Linked DNA regions of Mytilus edulis. Each later gene encodes a partner of the first gene's protein in a complex. Links are inferred from orthologs where the notes say so. Each region holds a gene or a part of one and is shown on either strand. Other genes may lie near its edges.

Region 1 (10,712 bases):
ATATCAATTTCTCCCTTGGGTACAGGTTCTTGGCAGTGCTTACATAAGGTAATGTTTCGCATGCAGTGCATCTCATGCATAACAAAATTAACTGCACTGATGTCTCTTTTACTGAAAACAAAATATATAAATAAATTATTAACTTGGTTTTTATGCATACATATAACATGTATAAAATTTTCAATAAAAGGCAGGTGCTACCTGAATCGAAGCTCCTGGAGGTTATTTGTGCATGTGTATTAAGTCATACTTTTCTGAGACATATTCATAAAACTTAATATATAATAATATAAATTTGCAAGGCAATTGTAAGCTCTTCAGTCACACATTTGCTGGGAATAATATGCTCTTTTATGATTTTGGAACCATAGTGGTATAGACCTTCGAGAGATATAACTGAACAGGACATAATGCTCGCTGATGACATCAGAGTAGATTTTAATTAAATGTACAATGTATTCTACATTTTGAATGAGCCGAAACTAATTACCCTGTATTTATGATTTCAGTAAATGTTATATTTATCACAGGCCTCGACAATAACGTTTGTCCGATTGTCCGGTACCAGAGGAAAAAAAAATCGGACAAGTAAAAGCTGTATCAAGCTTGTCCGTCGGGACAAGTACAGTTATTTAGCAGAAAATAAATTTAATCCAACTTTGATGAACAAAGTAATTTATTATAAACAAAAAACAAGAAAACAAATATTAATTTGACATGTTTCTGTATTCTGTTTATTCAAATGCAAAACCTTTTCCTACAACATGTTTACTTGCAATCGATAATTTTTAACTAGTTCTTTGTCAGGTACTTTTTAACAGGTAAAAGGAATACTATTCTCGAAAACCAGTCTTACTGATCGGAATCATGATGCGCTTTGTAGATAAGGTAACTTTACAGGACAGTTCGTCACCTCGAAAGATTCAGCTCCAAGTTTAATAGACAGTTTAGCACCGTAGGAGACATATAAGTAGACATGATTGATAGACAGTTTGACAAGGCAGGAGACATTTCGGGACCAAGACAAATCAGTGCCTCATTTTGCGACCTTATTCTGTTCCTTATAATAAATACCATACCGTAATTTTTTCACAATTTTTTTTATTTTATTTACCATAAAATTCACAAAATCATATTTGATCAGAAGTAGAAACCAGGTGCTCCGCAGGGCGCAGCTTTATACGACCGCAGAGGTCGAACCCTGAACAGTTGGGGCAAGTATGGACAAAACATTCAAGCGTGATACAGCTCTGAATTTGGATTGTGATCAAATTTTTGACATTACATGGTTTTTTTTTACACAAAACAAATGTCAAGATTTTACAAATCAATTAAAGATTTCTTCTTCAAACTTTTTAAATCTAAAATTAAATAGTTGACACAGCATAGGTTTCTGACACAGAATGAATGTGGTCTAATGAACTTAAAAGTTTTTTTTTTGCCTTTGAGCAATTCACTATGCTGTTGAATATTAATCCTCTCAAAAAAATGTTTGAAGAAATTTTCTTTTTATTTATGAAATCTGAAATGAGAAAAATTTAAACCCCCCCCCCCCTTTTTTTCACATCCCCGCTTCCCTTTTTCCAAAACTGATATCAATTCAAATTTCTAATGGAGTTTGCAACAATAACTACTCTTTTAAATACATCATAAAATATTAAAATGTAAAATAAAGTATTTGTTATCACTGAATGGTAAAGATTGGTTGGTAGTAAAAGTGAATATACATTGTTTATTGTATAAAACAATAAAAATAACTTCATCAGCAACATTTTATATTGGCAAATTTCCAATGAAGTTATTTACATAAAGTTATTGGCAAATAAAAATAGAAAATGACATCATAGTCATGTCTGGCAAATGTCCAACATACATTATCTAAAAACATTTTAGATAAGATAAGGAAAAAAAGCTTCATCAGCAACATTTTATATTGGCAAATTTCCAATGAAGTTATTTACATAAAGTTATTGGCAAATAAAAATAGAAAATGACATCATAGTCATGTCTGGCAAATTTCCAACATATATTATCAACTACTATTCTATACAAAGAAAGATAACTCTAATTGAAAATTAATTGCTATTGCACAATATTGTGCAATTAGATATTTCTTGCTATTGTGCAATACTGTGCAATTGAAAATTTCTTGCTATTGCACAATACTTGATATGGAATCCTGATTTGGACCAACTTGAAAACTGGGCCCATAATCAAAAATCAAAGTACATATTTAGATAAAGCATATTAATAAGCCCAAGAATTTAATTTTTGTTAAAATCAAACTTAGTTTAATTTTGGACCCTTTGGACCTTAATGTAGACCAATTTGAAAACTGGACCAAAAATTAAGAATCTACATACACAGTTAGATTTGGCATATCAAAAACCCCAATTATTCAATTTTTAATGAAAACAAACAAAGTTTAATTTTGGACCCCAATTTGGACTAACTTGAAAACTAGGCCAATAATTAAAAATCTAAGTACATTTTTAAATTCAGCATATCAAAGAACCCCAAGGATTTAATTTTTGTTAAAATCAAACTAAGTTTAATTTTGGACCCTTTGGACCTTAATGTAGACCAATTTGAAAACGGGACCAAAAATTAAGAATCTACATACATAGTTAGATTCGGCATATCAAAGAACCCCAATTATTCAATTTTTGATGAAATCACACAAAGTTCAATTTTAGACCCTTTGGGCCCCTTATTCCTAAACTGTTAGGACCAAAACTCCCCAAATCAAACCCAACCTTCCTTTTATGGTCATAAACCTTGTGTTTAAATTTCATAGATTTCTATTTACTTATACTAAAGTTATGGTGCAAAAACCAAGAATAATGCTTATTTGGGCCCTTTTTTGGCCCTTAATTCCTAAACTGTTGGAACCAAAACTCCCAAAATCAATCCCAACCTTCCTTTTGTGATCATAAACCTTGTGTCAAAATTTCATAGATTTCTATTAACTTAAACTAAAGTTATAGTGCGAAAACCAAGAAAATGCTTATTTGGGCCCTTTTTGGCCCCTAATTCCTAAAATGTTGGGACCAAAACTCCCAAAATCAATACCAACCTTCCTTTTGTGGTCATAAACCTTGTGTTAAAATTTCATAGATTTCCATTCACTTTTACTCAAGTTAGAGTGCGAAAACTAAAAGTATTCGGACGCAGGACGACGACGACGACGACGACGCTGACGCCAACGTGATAGCAATATACGACGAAAAATTTTTCAAATTTTGCGGTCGTATAAAAAACAATACTTGCAATATGGTGACCTATAGTTGTTAATTTCTGTGCCATTTGGTCTCTTGCAGAGAGTTGTCTCATTGGCAATCAGACCCTATGATGGCTTATCTTCTTTTTATTGATTGCATTTGAATAAACTTTTTTCAACTTAAAAAACAAAACAGAATACAAATCCAATGAGTGTACAGGCCTATCAGATGGTGCCTCATGTTTAGAGTCTGGTGAGACTAGCATTGATGAAAACTAAAACCCAATTCCTGTGATATAACTAGTTTCGCAGTTGTACTTGACTCATATTTTTGAAAAATAAAAAGAAATACATCTAAGTCTGTTATAAATGTATTGTCTAAATTCGTTTTGCTCCTTTTAATAATCAACTAAAAATGTAAAAAGGTTATTTTTAATAATAAAAATTAGGACAAGTAACAATTTCATTCGGACAAGTGAATTTTGGTATGTACTTGTCCTACAGGACAAGTTGAAAAAAAAGTTATTGTAGAGGCCTGTATCATGTTATTTTATCTATTCTTAATTGCATATATAAACACTATTCTATTTCCTTTTTATCTTAATTGCCAAGCTATACATGTATATCTCGTGGATGTCATGTACAAAAATTGTATGTGGTACATGTACATGCTTATTAATCATCTGGACTGATTAATCATGCACAACAAGATTATGTTGTGCAATCAGCTGTCAATGTTAAAATTTCTTAAGGTGGTGCTCACACTATTAAATACATTTTTTGTACTAGCGGTGATGCCATAGCAAGTATTATGTCTGATCGATTGCCATTGACATGAGGTATAATGTATTCTGTATAAAATTTAGATTTATAAATCTATTGATTATTGCAGAATGGAGAACTGCATATTTACAAGGTGAATACAAACTTAGGTGGCAGAGGGAAATTCAAGTGTGCTGCAACGCCAGTCTTCATGATATGACACTACAGCTCAGGTGGATTTTGCTTTGTCCACTCCTCCACAGTTGGAGTGGGTACCGGGTGGGCAAAATTTCTAGCTTGTCCACTCTGCCCACCCATAGGAGTGAGCATGCAATTTCTTTTGTTTAATCAAAAGACTGGCAAGTACAGTCAATTGAAAAAAGCAGATAAGCACTTGTAATCACTATTTTTACAAAAAAAGAGATTATAGCTAGGGTGGGACTGTGGAAAAAGCAAAATCTACCCTGGCTGTTGTGTGATATGCCTTGAACCTTACTGGTTTGTCTATGAAAGCTTAAGTTTATAGCGTTTATCATGTTTATACAAAAATTTCTGAAGAATGGGATGTGGTCCTTAAAGTTAACTGTAAAAACTGCAACACCACTTATGGATCATGGTGAACCCTGTAAAAATGTAAGCCATGTCAGTCAACAATAAATAATTTTCCAATAATGCCAATTCATCTTTTTTCCTGGCTACAATGTAATTTGATGTCAGAGATCAAATATCTTTGTTACAATTTTGTCCTCATACATATTTTATCCCAAATATCCAAGGTCAACTGGTGTAGTTTATACAATTACATTGTTGGTCTCATTGACAAAAAAATGATTGAAGAGTTCATGTAAGCTATTGCGAGGTTGGCTTCTATTTTTTTTACACATGACACCTTAAAAAATCATTTTGCATGTAAAAGGGACATGGAGTCAGTCAGGACCTGTGAAATTATATTATATATGACAAAACAATAAGCAGGTTACAGGATCATAAACCCTCTCCCCACAAACTAGCCCTCCTGGCTCCGTAATTTGGTATCCGGTCATTCAAGCCCCAAACCTATCCGGCCCCAATTCAATCCGGCCCAAAGTCGATCCGTCCCAAGTCGATCCGGCCCCATAATAAAATAATGAATAATCTATATGGGCAAAATCAATTTGCGCATATTACAGTTTTGAAAGGGTATCTTTCTATTTTTTCTGATGGTATAAATTGCGGCACATTTACCGGTATCTTTTTTCTTTTTTTTTTTTCCTATATCACGTGCACACTTTCATGACTTTAGATTAAGCTGAACATCAAAATAAAGAAAACCCATCAACACATAAATTGATAAATTATAGAGTAGTTTTTCAGATGGAGATCTTGGGGAAAACTTTTTAAAAAAAAACAAAAGCTTAAACACACCAAACAAATAGATAACAACTGTCATATTCCTGACTTGGTACAGGCATTTTCTTGAAAACTTTTAAATAATAATAAATACCCACTTTACCAGAAATCCTAAAATTAGGTGTCGACTAAGTTAAGACTGATTTAGTAATAATTTACAAAATTTGAAATGTTGTTTATGTAACTATTTGTTATTACACAGGATGAAAGACTTGCAATTGAAAAAAACGGTAATCAATGCTGATGAACGTTGATTGTATTAAACTCTGTTATATATGTTTTTATTACTCAATAATGTTGAAAACTTGTAATGAAACTGTACATAATCAACATAGTTGTTTTAAACTCATCTAATGAAAATATTCCTCAAAGGCCAACTTTTTTTTACTGTACACCTTTTATAATCTTATTAATTTCATAAACATTTATCAGTGATTTACAATTCATATAATGCATGATGATATATCTTCATTATAATTTCTTATAAAAATATTTTTTTATTGGGGCCGGATCGACTTGGGACAGATAGACATGAAAGCAGTAATTTATAGTATTTCTTTTAAGGAAAACGTAATATTTACAAAATGAAATTATAAAATAAATATCCAGCAATAAATTACCAATTTTTGCAAAACTTTGTCTCCACATCTTGTGAATCTTCAGCCATGTTGATGTTTATGAAACTGAAAGTTGCTTGGTCACGTTACAAGAATGTTTTTATCATTACAAATTTGTCATTCAGAAATAATCAACCAATGATTCAAAATGAATCGCTAATTATCATTTAGTTTAACTAATTTAGACAACAGAGCAATATTCTGTTTTCGATGACAATAAAGAAACTACAAGGTGTTTCCCCTGATACAAAGACACTTGGGATAGAAACTGTAGCCTGGCTTGTCAACAAAATATTTTGACAGCTCTAATCTGCAATAGAACAACAACTGTGATTGGCTAATTATTTTAAGACGACGGTTTTGATTTGTTGGTGTAAGAGGCAAGTCCTCGCCATTTATTGTACTTCCGGTTTATCCGGCTACCTGCACGTGGAAACCCACTAACTATATTACAACATTTTTTTTAATTTGAAATATTCACATTTAAAATGGCAACGCCTTCTTTAAATGAAGCCCAGTTAAAGCTGGTTTCGGATTTAGAATTAGAAATGATGGCAGATATGTATAACAGGTGAATTGATAGACAGAAAGTGTATTTCTGAGATGTAACCAAAATTTGACCTTTGCCATGTTTATATTGTCAGTGTCAAAGACAAGTATCAGAGCACTGTACATAATACCAAGTTTTTGGTGGTGTTGGTGTTGCTCAGTCTTTAGTTGGTTTTTGTATTTTACTATGGACTTACAGAGTTAAATTTCTAACATGTCATGTGTCTAATAAACTACCCGCTCTATTTTACAAGGCATGTTGTTCTTGTGTTCTAGTCATAGATTGCAAAGGTGGCGTTTAGTTGACTGTACATTCGTGATCAGCTGTCAATGTTACAAAAAAATATGCTAGACAATCTCAATATGCAAGTGCAAAAGGAAAACTAAACGTAAACATCGCTCCGTCATAGTCATCAAGATAAACTATATCTTGTAGTACCTGTTATACACTTGCTTACCTGAATATCCATGCTTCTTTGTTGATTGATTACAAACGGGTGACAATTGTTAAACTTCAGCTTCACATCACGACTAATAATAAGCTGCCATATTTTCACAACAACACTGACAAATAGAATATTTTTTGACGATTAGACGAAACTTATGCTAACAAAATGATAAAATCGATCACAGAAGACTTAAGTTTATGATATATGTATGCATTGGTTCAAGAGTTGGATTAACATTATTTTCCACCGGTCACTATTTTCATATTACTTTAAAGTAATAAACATGATAAAGAAATTGATGGTCATCAGAAGTGATGAAACCAGCATTAATTTAAAAATAAATCATTTGATATAATTCAAAAACACTCTTAATTGAGGGGGCAATAGGGGGTCCGTTTACATGTTGACAACACCTCGATTTTGGCAAAAACATTTAGCAAAAAAGCTGATACAAACAAATAACAGCTTAAATTGATCTCAGATAACAGTTAAAAACACCTTGAAAAGGGCCATAACTGGTTAACACAAAAAGGTATCCCCCTCTTAATTTGTTCACTTTGCGTAACCCCACTATTATCTATAATAAATTAATAAATGTACAATATATATTTTCTGTGTTTTAGAATGACCACTGCCTGTCAGAAAAAATGTGTACCACCCAAGTATAACGAAGCAGATTTATCTAAAGGTGAATCAGTGTGTTTAGACAGATGTGTATCCAAGTACTTAGAAATGCACGATAATATAGGAAAGAAATTGACATCTATGTCCCAACAAGACGAGGCTACTGTGAAGAAAATCCAGGATCAAATGCAGCCCCAAAAATCTTAACATAAACTGTTTTAATAGTTGTGATATTACAATTAAAGTATTTATACAATGAAGAAATGAACAAGATACTAACAGGAGAAAGTGTAATCAGTACAAGGAAAAGCAGGCCATTGATAAAAAGATGAATTGACTCACTGTCATCAGCTGTTCTGTCATAGATTGCAAAGGTGGCGTTTAGTTGACTGTACATTCATGATCAGTTGTCAATATTTAAAAAATACACTAGACAATTAATATTAAATTTATTATGTTACTATTAATTCTTAAATTTTATAACTACATTCAGGAAGTTTTTCTAGTAAAAATTTCATTTTACTGGTTGAAATTTTATTTGGTTTTCTTAGAACATGAAAACCTAAGCCAACTGTGGTAAATAAGCATGATAAGTGCTAGATGAGATACATGTATTGTCACACTCTTGCCTTATTGAATGTTTCAGTCTAAACATTCTAAAATGACCATGACTAATCCAGTATGCTAACGATGATTTAGATTTTCATAGCCTCAAAAAAAATAATTTTTAGCATGTCTAAGGCCTAAAATAAAATTTCATTTGTTTGGCATTGCCGCCCAACCCACTGAAAAACTTGCCGCCCAAATAATTTTATTTGCGTTTCAGAAATTTATTTTTTTTTATTTAAAAACAATCGAAATTTTGCCGGAAATTGGTCGTATCTGCCGAGTTTGTTCCTGGCTTTACTTATTTCAAATCATGATCTGAAAAGCGTTTGCCTTACACTGTATTGGTAGCAAACATTTAAATGACATGGAATAGAAAAAGTCTGCCAAAAGTTAAATGTCAAAGAGGCTGACAGGGGAAGGCATCTCCCTATGCTGCAATGCATTGGTTAAGGGAGATGGATTTTATCAAAAATCAAATTTCAGCTATTCTTTGAAAGAAACGTTCTGAGAGACCTTGTAGAGGACTCAATTTTATCTTTTGTAAAGCAGAAACAGATGATTTCTGCTCGACTTTGTCGCTTCATGAGATAGAAGTTTTTCACCAGGACATCACAGAACAAATATGCGTGGCTCTTACATTTGTTGAACTTATTAAATATTTGAAATTTATCATTGACAAATTTTCCCTTGAACCAGAGAACAAAGTATCTACTATAGTCAGAACCACAATGATGCATTCAAGATAATTATGACTGTAAGCACCAAAGCTTACAGACCAAAATAATTTACAGGTTTATAGTAGTTTTGTACCAGAAGATGCTAGCCTGGAACAAAACATACATATTTTAAAGACTAGCATCTTGTGTCAATTGAAGTACTTCCCATTTTCTTGCCTTTCTTCATGAATAAGATGATTCTTAAAACATAAAAGATACTGACAGAAACATATTTATAAATGTATCCAGTGTACTAGTGATGAATAAAATCCCCTCCTTTTCCACAATTCTAAGGGCTCATTAATTTATCTGTATTCATGTAATGCATGTCCAGATTTCTGTTAATCAAACAAGCATTACAACTCATAATTTATTTATCTGCAAAAATTATCTGTCCTGCTGCATATTTCCATTTTGAATTTATCATACGTTTTAAACCTATCCCTGAAAAACCTTGCACTTGGATAATATTAGTATAAACACCATGTCTATTTGTGCCAACCTTCCAAATTTTTAATATTTTGCTATCCTAATTTGGAACAGATCCTTTATCCTCAAAACTTATCAGGGGCAGTTGGCGTGTTTGTATGGTAGTTCGTCACACCTTACATGTATGATTACTAGCCTCCAGGTATTGGTTTGAGCCCTAGTTGGGCAGTTGCAAAATTAAGGTTTGATTTTCATGTCAGATGTGATAAGGTTAGTCAGTTTCCTCCCACAGGTTGGCGTTTTCCTTCAAGTACTACGGTTTAGTACGCCACTAAAACTGACTACCATGAAATTACCTATATGGTGTAGAAAGTGATGTTTATAATAGTCCAGTCAAACTCAGATTTAACCTCAAACTAATTGCAACAGAAAATGTTTTAGTTCTTATCTATAACATTATGCCCTTTATATACACAGAAAAAAGTCCCATAAAATCTTACTTGAGGAAAACTCAAAATCAGCATTTTTAATTTCCTATGGAAATTAACATTGGAAGGGGAGATAATTCTTACAAAAATGAGTCTTTTTTGTCAGTTTTTGGTTGTTTTTCTTGAAATTGATGTAAAGTATGATACTTTGATGGTTTATAAGTTTGTATTTGACTAAATTATATAATCTTCTGTTCATGAAATGTACAAAACCGAAGTGTTATGGGTAGTTTTATTTTTTTCGTGCATTTTTCATTGAAGAAATTGCAAATTTGAAGCTTTGTAACCATTTTGAAAAAATAATGTGAAAATTTGGTATTGTTTATATCTGTATATTATGTTTTTTCAGCAACTTACTTATCTAAAGAAACTTTAAACCACAAAAAGAAGAATACATTCTTAATTACTTTTATTAAATTTGAGATTCTTTACCTTGACATGTTGAAAAATTCAATAAATGGTCAACTAATGAATTACGAAATCTAGATTATAGCTTGATAAAATATATGAAAACACCTTTAGAGGTGTTCGTTATACTCTTAAGACCGCTAAAAAATAAAAAATCAATACATTCTGATGAATAGAAGCGGTAAAGTTATAATTTGGTATCATTTTTTATTGATATTTCTGCCTTTTTTGCAAGAGTTATCTCCCTTTTCAATGCATATCTCCATAGGAATTTTAAATGGTGATTTTTTTTAGTCTTCCTCAAGTTAGATTTTATGGGACTTTTTTCTGTGTATATTTGGGGTATAATGCTAAAGATTAAAACTTAAAAATCTTCTGTTGCAATTACTTTCGGGTTAAGGTCAAATTTATGCTAGATTGACTGGACTATAAAACCAAAGCAAACAATCAAA
Region 2 (10,255 bases), on another chromosome or scaffold:
GTAAGAGGTATGTGACTATAAACACGCATAAGGGTTTATTCAGATACAATAGACTTCCGTATGGTGTAGCGTCCAGCCCAGGTATTTTTCAGAGAACACTTGAAAATGTTGTTCAAGGTATAGCCAATGTTTTGGTTCGAGTAGATGATATACTAATAACGGGTAAAACAAGGGAGGAACATCTTAATACTCTTTCTGAGGTATTGTCTAGATTTAAGAGAATCGGAATTCGGTTAAAGAAACAGAAGTGTGTGTTCATGGCCGAAGAAGTTGTTTATTTGGGATTTAAAATAAACAAACACGGAATATATCCAGTGGAAAGTAAAGTTGAGGCGATCGATAAAGCACCAAGTCCGACAAACGTGACAGAACTGAAAGCTTATCTTGGAATGCTGAACTATTACAATAGATTCTTAGCGAATTTATCTCACTTGTTAAAGCCGCTACATGTACTTCTACAGAAAGACACAAAATGGAGTTGGGGAAAAGAACAGGAAAAAGCGTTCATAGAGTCAAAACAGCTGTTGAAATCCGCATCAGTACTTGTACATTTCGATCCGAAAAAGAAATTAATCTTAGCATGTGATGCATCACCATATGGATTAGGCGCCGTACTTTCGCATAAAATGGACGACGGCAGCGACAAACCAATAGCTTATACATCTCGAACACTTACATCAGCAGAGAAGAATTATTCCGTTCTTGAGAAGGAGAGTCTGGCCATAATATTTGGTATCAAGAAATTTCATCAATATTTGTATGGACACCCCGTTACAATCATAACCGATCACAAGCCGCTCATAGGTTTATTTCGAGAAGATAAACCTATACCTACAATGGCCGCATCTCGAATTCAAAGGTGGGCACTGACGTTAGCTGCATATGAGTACACGATTGTATACAAAGAAGGGAGTTTGAATGGTAATGCGGATGGACTAAGTAGACTACCGCTGAAAACAAACATTGAAAAGACACCAACGCCAGGTGATACTATATTATTAATAGAACATTTAGCCACTACGCCAGTTGATGCTAAACAAATTCAAAAGTGGACACGCAAGGACACAATACTATCTATGGTGCTTAGATACATTTTGAATGGATGGCCGTCAAAATGTCCAAATGAAGAAATAAGACCGTATCATAGTAGGAAAAATGAACTCAGTAGTCAGGACGGATGCATATTGTGGGGAGGAAGAGTAATTATACCACAACCAGGACGTGAAGCCATGTTAAATGAATTACACCAAGGACATCCAGGGATTACTAGAATGAAAAGTCTAGCAAGAAGCTACATATGGTGGCCGGGAATGGACAATGACTTGGAATTAACTGTAGTTAATTGTTATAGTTGTCAGGAAAACCGCAAGTTACCAGCAGAAGCACCGTTACATCCGTGGGAATATCCGAGCCATCCGTGGTCAAGAATACACATAGACTTTGCAGGACCATTCATGAACAAATCATTTCTAATTATGGTTGATGCGTATTCAAAATGGATAGACATACACGTAATGAATTCTACAACATCCGAAGCTACGATTGCAAAACTTGAACAAACGTTTGCAACACATGGATTATGTGATCTCATTATTAGTGATAATGGAGCCGCATTTACTAGCAAGGAATTCGCCGATTATGTGAAATCAAATGGAATTGAACATCGTACTTCCGCGCCGTGGCATCCAGCTAGTAATGGTTGTGCTGAACGAGCAGTTCAGAGTTTCAAAGAAGGTATGAAGAAAATCAAAGAAGGAACTGTCCAGGAAAAGTTGAACCGTTTTCTTTTTAACTACCGTATAACGCCACAAACAACGACAGGATTGGCACCATCAGAATTGCTTATGAAAAGGAAACTCAAGTCGCGTCTAGATTAAGTTTTTCCAAATATTGAGAAGCGAGTTCAGGAAAGACAACAAAAACAGAAACATTATCACGATAAGAAATCTGTGAACAGACAAATTAATGTAGGACAGGGAGTATTTGCCCGAAATTTCGCAATTGGTTCAAAGATTAAATGGATTCCAGGAGAAGTTATAAAACAATCAGGACCACTTTCATTTCATATTAAATTGCAAGATGGACGTGTCATTCGTAGACATATTGACCACATCAGAGTACGAAACTTCGATTGCACAAACAACGAAAATGAAGGAAAATGTGACAATGACAGTGATTTGTTTGAGCCAGAAATAACTATACCGATAAGTACTCCTGAGACCGAACAACCGCAAATCGATAAATCGTCAAACTTGACTGAACAAATGGAACCACGCTATCCGAAGAGAATAAGAAAAGAACCATCGCATTTAAAGGATTTTGTGTTGAAATAAATGGTTGATTTATAAAGAGGCATAATAATCCTCACAACCGTTTGAAGTGCATTAAGTACTTCGCAGTGTATGTGTGTACATATCAATTAGTGTAAGAAATAACAACAAGACCAGTGCGAACATTTTAATTTTTATTTTCATAGTAGGACATTATAGTTTCAGTGCAGACAAACTTTAACGAATGAATCTTTGTGATCTGACATTTTTATTTGTTTTCAAACTGATATGGACTTATCAATCAGTAGCCGTGAAAAGACATTAATTTTCTGTAATTGAGTTAATTTGTTTTTAATTTGTTTTTATCTAAGGCCGGAGAAGTGTTATAAAGTTCACCTCACTTTATTACCGTATCATCTGTTACAGTAATTATAATTGACAGATCAGCAACTCTCACATGTCTGCCCGTTCTTAAATAAACATGCAATTAAATAGATCAATTGAAGTTCTTATACACATGTTGTCATTCTGTAGTCTGACCATCAAACGATGTACTTGTTAATAAATTAGTTATAGAAACTGGATTGTATTATTACATAGCAAATATATTACAGTCCTCAATGCTCTTCAACTTCGTCCTCTATTTGGCCTTTTAAACATTTTTTAATTCGAGTGTCACTGATGAGACTTTTGTAGACGAAACCCGCGTATGGCGTAAATATTATATGTTATTCAGACCTGAATTACACATATATTACGGATTACGCCTGACTTAATGTTATTGTCCAGTGCAGGTATTTGTTGACAAAACATATATATTGAAAAACCCAACCTGATATGTTCGGCATACGTGAAGGATTTTCTAATTTTCTGTGAACATAATTTTATCGTGTATGTAATAATTTATAATAACACTTTTAACATCAAATTAAAGTATTAGAAGTGTTAATTGCGTGATTTTGTATCAAAAATGTATTATTGACTGAAGCACGTCATTATTTTCCCTCTGTGAACCTCTGACAGTCTGATAGCTTATGACTACGTCACATAGTAACCGGTTTTATGATGACGTTTTTGAGGTTCCAATTGGGGAAAAAAACGTCGTATATACCCCGGCAGTTTTCTGAATATATACTGACATCTCTGTATTGTTATCCAATCAGAAACCTCGACACATTTGTAATCCGTAATATAAATTTTTAATTCTGGTATCTATGATGAGTTTATTAGTTTAAGTACAGCTTGTTTGAAAATTATAATGAAAAAATATAGGTCACCAATGAGTTAAAAAAAGATATTTCAATTTTAATTGCAAAAAAGGCATTTTTGCACCAAAGGAAGATCATTTGGAGCTTTTTCAAAAATGAAAGCTACACTTTATAAGTCATCTGGGGCCCACACGAATTTTTTTTGGTATTTTTGATTTTTGTACAACATGATAAAGTAACAACTATACTAAAGGTAATAAATAAAATTTGTAATGAAAAATAAATGTTTATTTTTTTTGTAAATAAAGACTATTTTCATGACACAATTTGCTTATCAAATTTGCCGCTAGCATTTAAAAATGTTCTCATCTGAAACAATATATTGTTCCTAATACTTCTTTACTTTAAATGAATGTTTCTTAGGAATCTAGTTTATGAATTGTATCAACATGTTTTATCCACCAAGAAACATGGCCGCAATGGTCGAAAATAGACTATAGGGTTCATATACATGGTGTTTATATGGCGCTCGGTTTCTTCTTCAATGTATAAGCCTTTTGTTAGTATGAGTACCTCCATATTCCATATAGAGTATATTCCTAATATATTCAAAATTTTAAATCAATTATATGCAGGTCATATATAAATTTAACCAGGTGCTCTGCAGGTCGCAGCTTTATACGACCGCAGAAGTTGAACCCTGAACAGTTGGGGCAAGTATGGCCACAACATTTAAGATTGATACAGCTCTGACAGGGCCGTAACTAGACCCTTTTAAAAGTGAGGCGAAAAATCTTCGGCGAGGGGTCTGGGGCCGATTGAAAGGCCCGCCGAAGCTCTGAAAAAAAATGACGCAAAATCGTGCATTCTGAGCGTTTTCCGGACTCTTCTCTGACGCAATTAGTTTTTAGCTATTTTTTCGACAATACTCTGGTCTCAAAGCAAACTATATAGATTCAATGGAATTCAAGACTTTTAGGTTTATGGGGCAACATCAAAAGTTAGACCGATATGTAGGATAAAGCAACAATCGTAATTCTTAAAATCATTGAATACCGGATCTGTCTATTCTTGTCTTGTATTGTGTTTTGACTTTGTTGATTTTGTTTTATGACTGAATTTAGATATAGTGACAATGCAGTATTAATATATCATACTATACGTACCGCTTTAGTCGACACTATACATGCAGGGACGATCTTGACCTCAAGTTAAAAACAAACTAAATGTACTAGATTTACAAATGAAAATCAACACTTATTACTATAATCATAAAGTAGGACAATAAATGGACAAAAGACAAACCCGGGTACAGAAAAGACACATAACTAAAAACAATAGACCATAAGCTTTGAAAATAAAAGTAAATTAGAAACATGGGTCAGTCAAGAAAAACATGCAGGGGCGACATCAGAGAGTGAAGAGAAAGTGCTACTTGCAAGACATTCGCTGTGAAAAAAGAGTAGACAAGCTTTTGTTTCCACTTTTTTATTTTAAATTTCCGACATGAGGCATTTGCCTCATTTCCAATACGGACTGGCAATGATGTGAATACTAGGGCCAATATTTCCAATACGGATTGGCAATGAATCCTGAATTACATGCACAATTAATGTTTACATGTAATTCAGTATTCATTGCCAGTCCCAAGGATTTGTAAAGTTACTTAGACTTACTATACAAATCCTTGTCAGTCCGTAACGGAAATAATTGACCGGGCCGAAAAGCAATATCATGAATATAGATCACGTGAATTATATGACCAGTACTGAGAGTACACTATGTGTTATAGTAGTCTCAGACAGAATACAAAAAAAAAACGAAATTTATTAAAAAAAATTTACATTCTTAAAATATAATTGCAAATACATTTTTGTATCATTATTGGAGAATAACTTTATGCTTGTAAGCTTAGTTATTTGTATAACAATTGAAAAGAAACCTGTTAATTGTATCATAATCATACTATTGATGCGTGAAACATTTATATACAACTTTATTGCAAAAACAGAGTTCTTAACAGCAATTTGATTTTATAGCACTTCACTTTGGTTTTTAAAGGTATTGACGTGGGCAGGGACAAAGATATACAACGGGATTGCATCTTTTTTATAAGTGGTTTATCTATTTGTCATGAGTGGAGCCGTATTTCAGCGGGATTTTAACCCTTTTCATAAGGGGAGCATATTATTATAACTATTTGCAATGGGAGTTTACCCTTTTCATAAGTGGGGCGAGTTGGTAAACAAGAGTGGGGCGGTTTTTTAGAAAGTGGGGCGAGTTTGTGAAAAAATGGGGCGATTAGATGTGGGGAGATTTGCCAGTGGGGCGATTTGTCATGGATTACTCGCAGTTATTGGTGCTCCGTAAACGGAGCGATCTACGTTCATAAATACCTCATGACATTACCATTGGTTTCCCTCCCTCACTTATATTCTCTGTTATAACTCATGTAGGTTAAAAATCAGACAAAAATTGTCACTGAGACACATTGTAAATCATACCTTTTGTTTTACGAACAGTTACATATTCAATTTAGTTAAAAGTATTTTGTTGTTTAGACCAGGAATATACTGTTTCCAGGCTGTTCAATAAACATTGTTATATAAAAGATCATAAAATATGATATTTTATTGATAGGTACTGGCATGGAAATGTAACAATTATAATAAAAATATTATTGTTACATTGGAGAATAATTGCCGCAGTACAGGGTTGGGTAAGGATCCGATTAATTACGAATGTAACAATAAAAATTGAGGCTAAGGTTACTTTGCGATATTGTTACATTTGTACATTGATGCACTTAAGGTTCATGTGGACCCTATGGCTAAAATGGCCGTATTTTCACCTCAAAATTTTCTCTGAGTACAGGCAAACCTGTGCATCTGGAAAAGTTTTAAGGCATGGCATGCCCTAGATAAATAGAATTCAAATGCATTGTATGATTTAGAAAATTCATAACTTAACTGGATTTTGCCATACACTTTTTTTCGTCTCTGCAGAAGACGATAAAATTAACAAACAGTTGAGTTTACCTTGATATGGTTCACTCAGGTACACAGTTTAAATAACCAATTATTGTCGGGTATCTATTGTCCATCTAATGTCCATGTCAATTAAAAATGCTCACTTTAATTTTTACCTGTGGGGAAGTTCTCAAACCTGTTTCCCAACTTAGTTTATTTTGGCACCTTCTGGAGAAATGAAAAAAAGTGCACGGCAAAATCCTGGTAAGTTTTTACTTTTCTAAAACATAAAACATATTTAAAATTCATTTATCTAGGGCATGCTATGCCTGAATTTTTTTACAGATGCGCAGGTTTGTCTGTACTCCGAGTAAATTTTGAGGTGAAAATACGGCCATTTTAGCCATAGGGTCCACATGAACCTTAATGTATGCTAGATTTATTAAACTTCAACCTTCTAAACTTGTATACCTTATTTTTTCATCAATCTGTAATCTGTAATGTCTGTACAATCAAGGATTTGTATAGTAAGAATCCAATTAGAATGAAATTACTATCACAAATTATCTGGACTCTGAAAATGAAAACACTGATTCAACCACTTTCAATGTCATGTCAGCAAATGTTAAAAATCAATTGCCTTCGCAATTGACTAGTACTTAGCTGGATATGGAAATTGAGGGTGGTAAAGGTTGTTTTTTTGGTGGAACGTGATCACCGTTTTTTATTTCACGTTCAACATGTTTTTACTTGTTTATTTGACGTTCAGTTGTGCAAGACGGGTGCCTCGTTCAACGTTTTCTGCTTATTTAATTTTACATGCATCATGATTTTCAAAGTCTTATTTTGCGTGCTCGATATTTTTCAAATAAAATTCTAAGACTTGGCAGGGATCGTCAAGAAATACTTTTTTAAAAGCCATAAACCAATTATATCATAAATGTGTATTATAATTCGGGAATATCAAGTAAAACAAAGAGTTAATATATACAAGAAGACAGTGACTCAGTCACACAAGGTTCAAATAAAAGTATTTATTTTTCATGCAACGTTCATTACAGAAATTATTTCACGTTCAACGTGAAATTATGTCTTATTTCACGTTTTTTTCGTGCAAGCACCCCCTTTACCACCCTCAATAATGAACGGTAATGAAATCATTTTACAACCTCACATGCATACCTGTCAACTAACCCGTATTCTGCGGGTGTTACCCGAGATTTTCACAATTCTGAGGGATCACCCGGGACACCCGTCGGGTCATTGAATAACCCGGGAATTCCGAAAATGACTAGTTTTCACCCGTATTTCTTAGCCTTGAGATTGATTTCATAAGTAATATTCCTTTGAAATACCGGCAAATTCGTAATTGTTCCATGAACAGAAAGTTCATCTAGCTGTGTAAACTGTCAAATGAAGTGACCCATTAAGTGCATGGCTTCACTTAACAGCTTTGGTGTCAAACACACTGTTAATTAACACCAATTACCTTAGCTTAAGGTCGTAAATAAATTGCACTGTTGTTTTTACAAACATATTTCTACTAGAGTTACTTCCCCTTATTTGTCACCATTCAAAATTATTCCTTATATTTCCGTTTTTTTTTGGGAAAAGATTAAATCTTAGAAAAAATAAAATTCAAATACATATTGAAATATAACTTTTCATTATTTTTATACCTTTATACATGTTATACAATTTTGAAAAAAAAGTTGAAAATTATTTTGTACATCTATACTTCCTTTAACTGTATTACTATATTTTACTATCGTATAATTTCAATGAACAAGATGGATTGTAATGAATGATTAGGATGATGTGTTTGAAGGCTGAATAGCTGGTCTGAAACACTTTAAAATTACTCTTAAACTATATCCTGATGTTTGAGGGTAAAATAAAGAACACAAGACTGTGTTAAACAAATTTATAAAAAATCTTTAAAAGTGCAATGAAATAATAATTAATAAGATTTAAAATTACTTAACCAAGTAACTTTGATTTAAATTACAAGAAAAAAGTACCATAAATACTGAAATTCAGCTTGAAAAAGTTTGTACGCATTATGACCTGAGATTTGATTCTTCAATGCAGGTCATGACCTGCATTTTCATTGTCACAGGTTGACAGGTATGCACATGTTAAAGTTTAAATATCGCACCAAGGATATTTATATACAAATCCTTGATCGCAAGAGTAAAAAAATATATTTATCAGCTGAAGCATGACAGACATTGAAAGTGTCTTTAACTGCAAAACAGGATAGTAACATGGAATTTAGAGTATGAAATACTGACGTTCATATTGCTGCATCACTCGTTTGCGATGACTGCTAGGTTTCACCAAGATTCGTTGGACTAAGACATGCTCCCAAAAACAACATATTGGATTTGTAGAAACTAATATTACAAATAATTTTTTTTAAATTGTATGCAATTTTGTAAAATTCAAATAAAGTTTTCATCGAGTTTATATTTCTAGTCCCAGCGTACATTGACGTGAATTAATGTAACAATAACCCAATGTAACCGTAGCCTCAATAATTTTTGTTACATTCGTAATTAATCAGTTCCTTACCCAACCTTTCATTCTGGCAATTAATCTCCGATGTAACAATATTTTTATTATTGTTACATTTCCATGTAACCATAGCCAGTGCCAATATGATAAACCACAGCTGGGAACAGTATATCTAGTTAATATATATGTTCCTGACCACAGTCTCTTGAATTTGAGTGATATATGTATGAAAAAATTCAATAAAAAAATTCTGTTCAATGTATTTTTTTTAATATTTTTTTTCATACATATATCACTAAAATTAAAACGACTGTGGGTAAACAGATCTTCTTATGATCAGGTTGGGAAACCCTCCCTTATGAAAGTCTGAGATGAGGAAATGTCCTTCAGATGAGGGGTTATTTAACTGTTTTAGAAAAGAAAAACTTAGGTTTTTATACGACCGCAAACAATTTTTTGCGTCGTATAATGGTATCATGTTGGGCGTCTGCGTCGTCGTCGTCGTCTGAAGACGCATTTAGTTTCTGGACAATAACTTTTGTTTTAGTGGATGAATCTCTATAAATTTTTACCAGAAGGATCAATACTACTAAAGGAAGGTGGGGATTGATTTTGCGGGTTATAGTCCCAATAGTTAAGGAATTAGGGGCCAACAATAACTTGTGTTAAAGTGTATGAATCTCTCTGAAATTATACCAAAAATATATACCATAAAAGTTTCCATACCCTGAAGGAATGGTTAGTATTGACTTTGGGGGTTATTGCTCAAAAAAAAATTCTTTATATTTGGAACAATTATCGTCGATGCTTGTAACATGTGTAAGGTTGTTGTTCTTGCAAATTCGATACATCTCTGCTGGATTTCCAATTTAATCATGACATCATGCAAAAAAACTAACCACACATTTTTCATTGCATTTTCACTAGTATTGACTACAAAAGAGAAGTTGAGAATGATCTTGCATAATAATTGTTTAAACATCTATTTCCACTATTTATGTTTTACTCCTCTCGTAGAATTTCGTTGAATTCTTGGGAAAATCTTTTCAGCAATGTTGTTAACATGGAAATAATGACTCGTCAACTATCATGTCTAATTTTAGGTTATGTGGTGCTCATATTCCTTTTTAAGGCCAAGTGTATTATTTTTTTAAGTCTTGTTGTGAGCTTTTTTTTTTATGATCAGAAAATGATTTGGTATATTTTGATAAAACAAAATCTGCCAAGTATTTGCCTGTAAAAGTAATTTATTCTATGTCATTGAATGCTAATGGAATGAAAAAATACTTTG

The links.
Region 2: the proteins of mitochondrial import inner membrane translocase subunit Tim10-like (region 1) and mitochondrial import inner membrane translocase subunit Tim9-like are in contact, whole or in part, in a crystal structure (PDB 2BSK), measured with the Homo sapiens proteins. The link is inferred for Mytilus edulis from reciprocal best matches to the Homo sapiens genes TIMM10 and TIMM9. Residues at the interface, in NP_036588.1 of Homo sapiens: Glu16, Met17, Asp20, Met21, Arg24, Ala28, Cys29, Lys32, Cys50, Arg53, Cys54, Ser56, Lys57, Tyr58, Asp60, Ile61, His62, Arg64, Met65, Gly66, Lys68, Leu69, Leu72; in NP_001291414.1 of Homo sapiens: Lys15, Leu18, Gly19, Tyr21, Asn22, Lys23, Thr25, Glu26, Cys28, Phe29, Leu30, Val33, Asp35, Phe36, Thr37, Thr38, Arg39, Glu40, Val41, Glu45, Thr46, Glu50, Leu53, Leu57.

The regions. Positions count from the first base shown.
Region 1 is NC_092349.1:22,051,511-22,062,222, forward strand, and holds the start of mitochondrial import inner membrane translocase subunit Tim10-like, read left to right. Parts: upstream 1-6,383; 5' UTR 6,384-6,476; coding exon 6,477-6,559; intron 6,560-7,609; coding exon 7,610-7,817; 3' UTR 7,818-8,344; intron 8,345-10,712. Other genes in the region: TRAF-type zinc finger domain-containing protein 1-like, read right to left, coding at 1-111, 5,992-6,038.
Region 2 is NC_092346.1:22,145,888-22,156,142, reverse strand, and holds the start of mitochondrial import inner membrane translocase subunit Tim9-like, read left to right. Parts: upstream 1-5,821; 5' UTR 5,822-5,930; intron 5,931-5,946; exon of another isoform or gene 5,947-5,971; intron 5,972-10,255. UniProt on the Homo sapiens protein: Mitochondrial intermembrane chaperone that participates in the import and insertion of multi-pass transmembrane proteins into the mitochondrial inner membrane.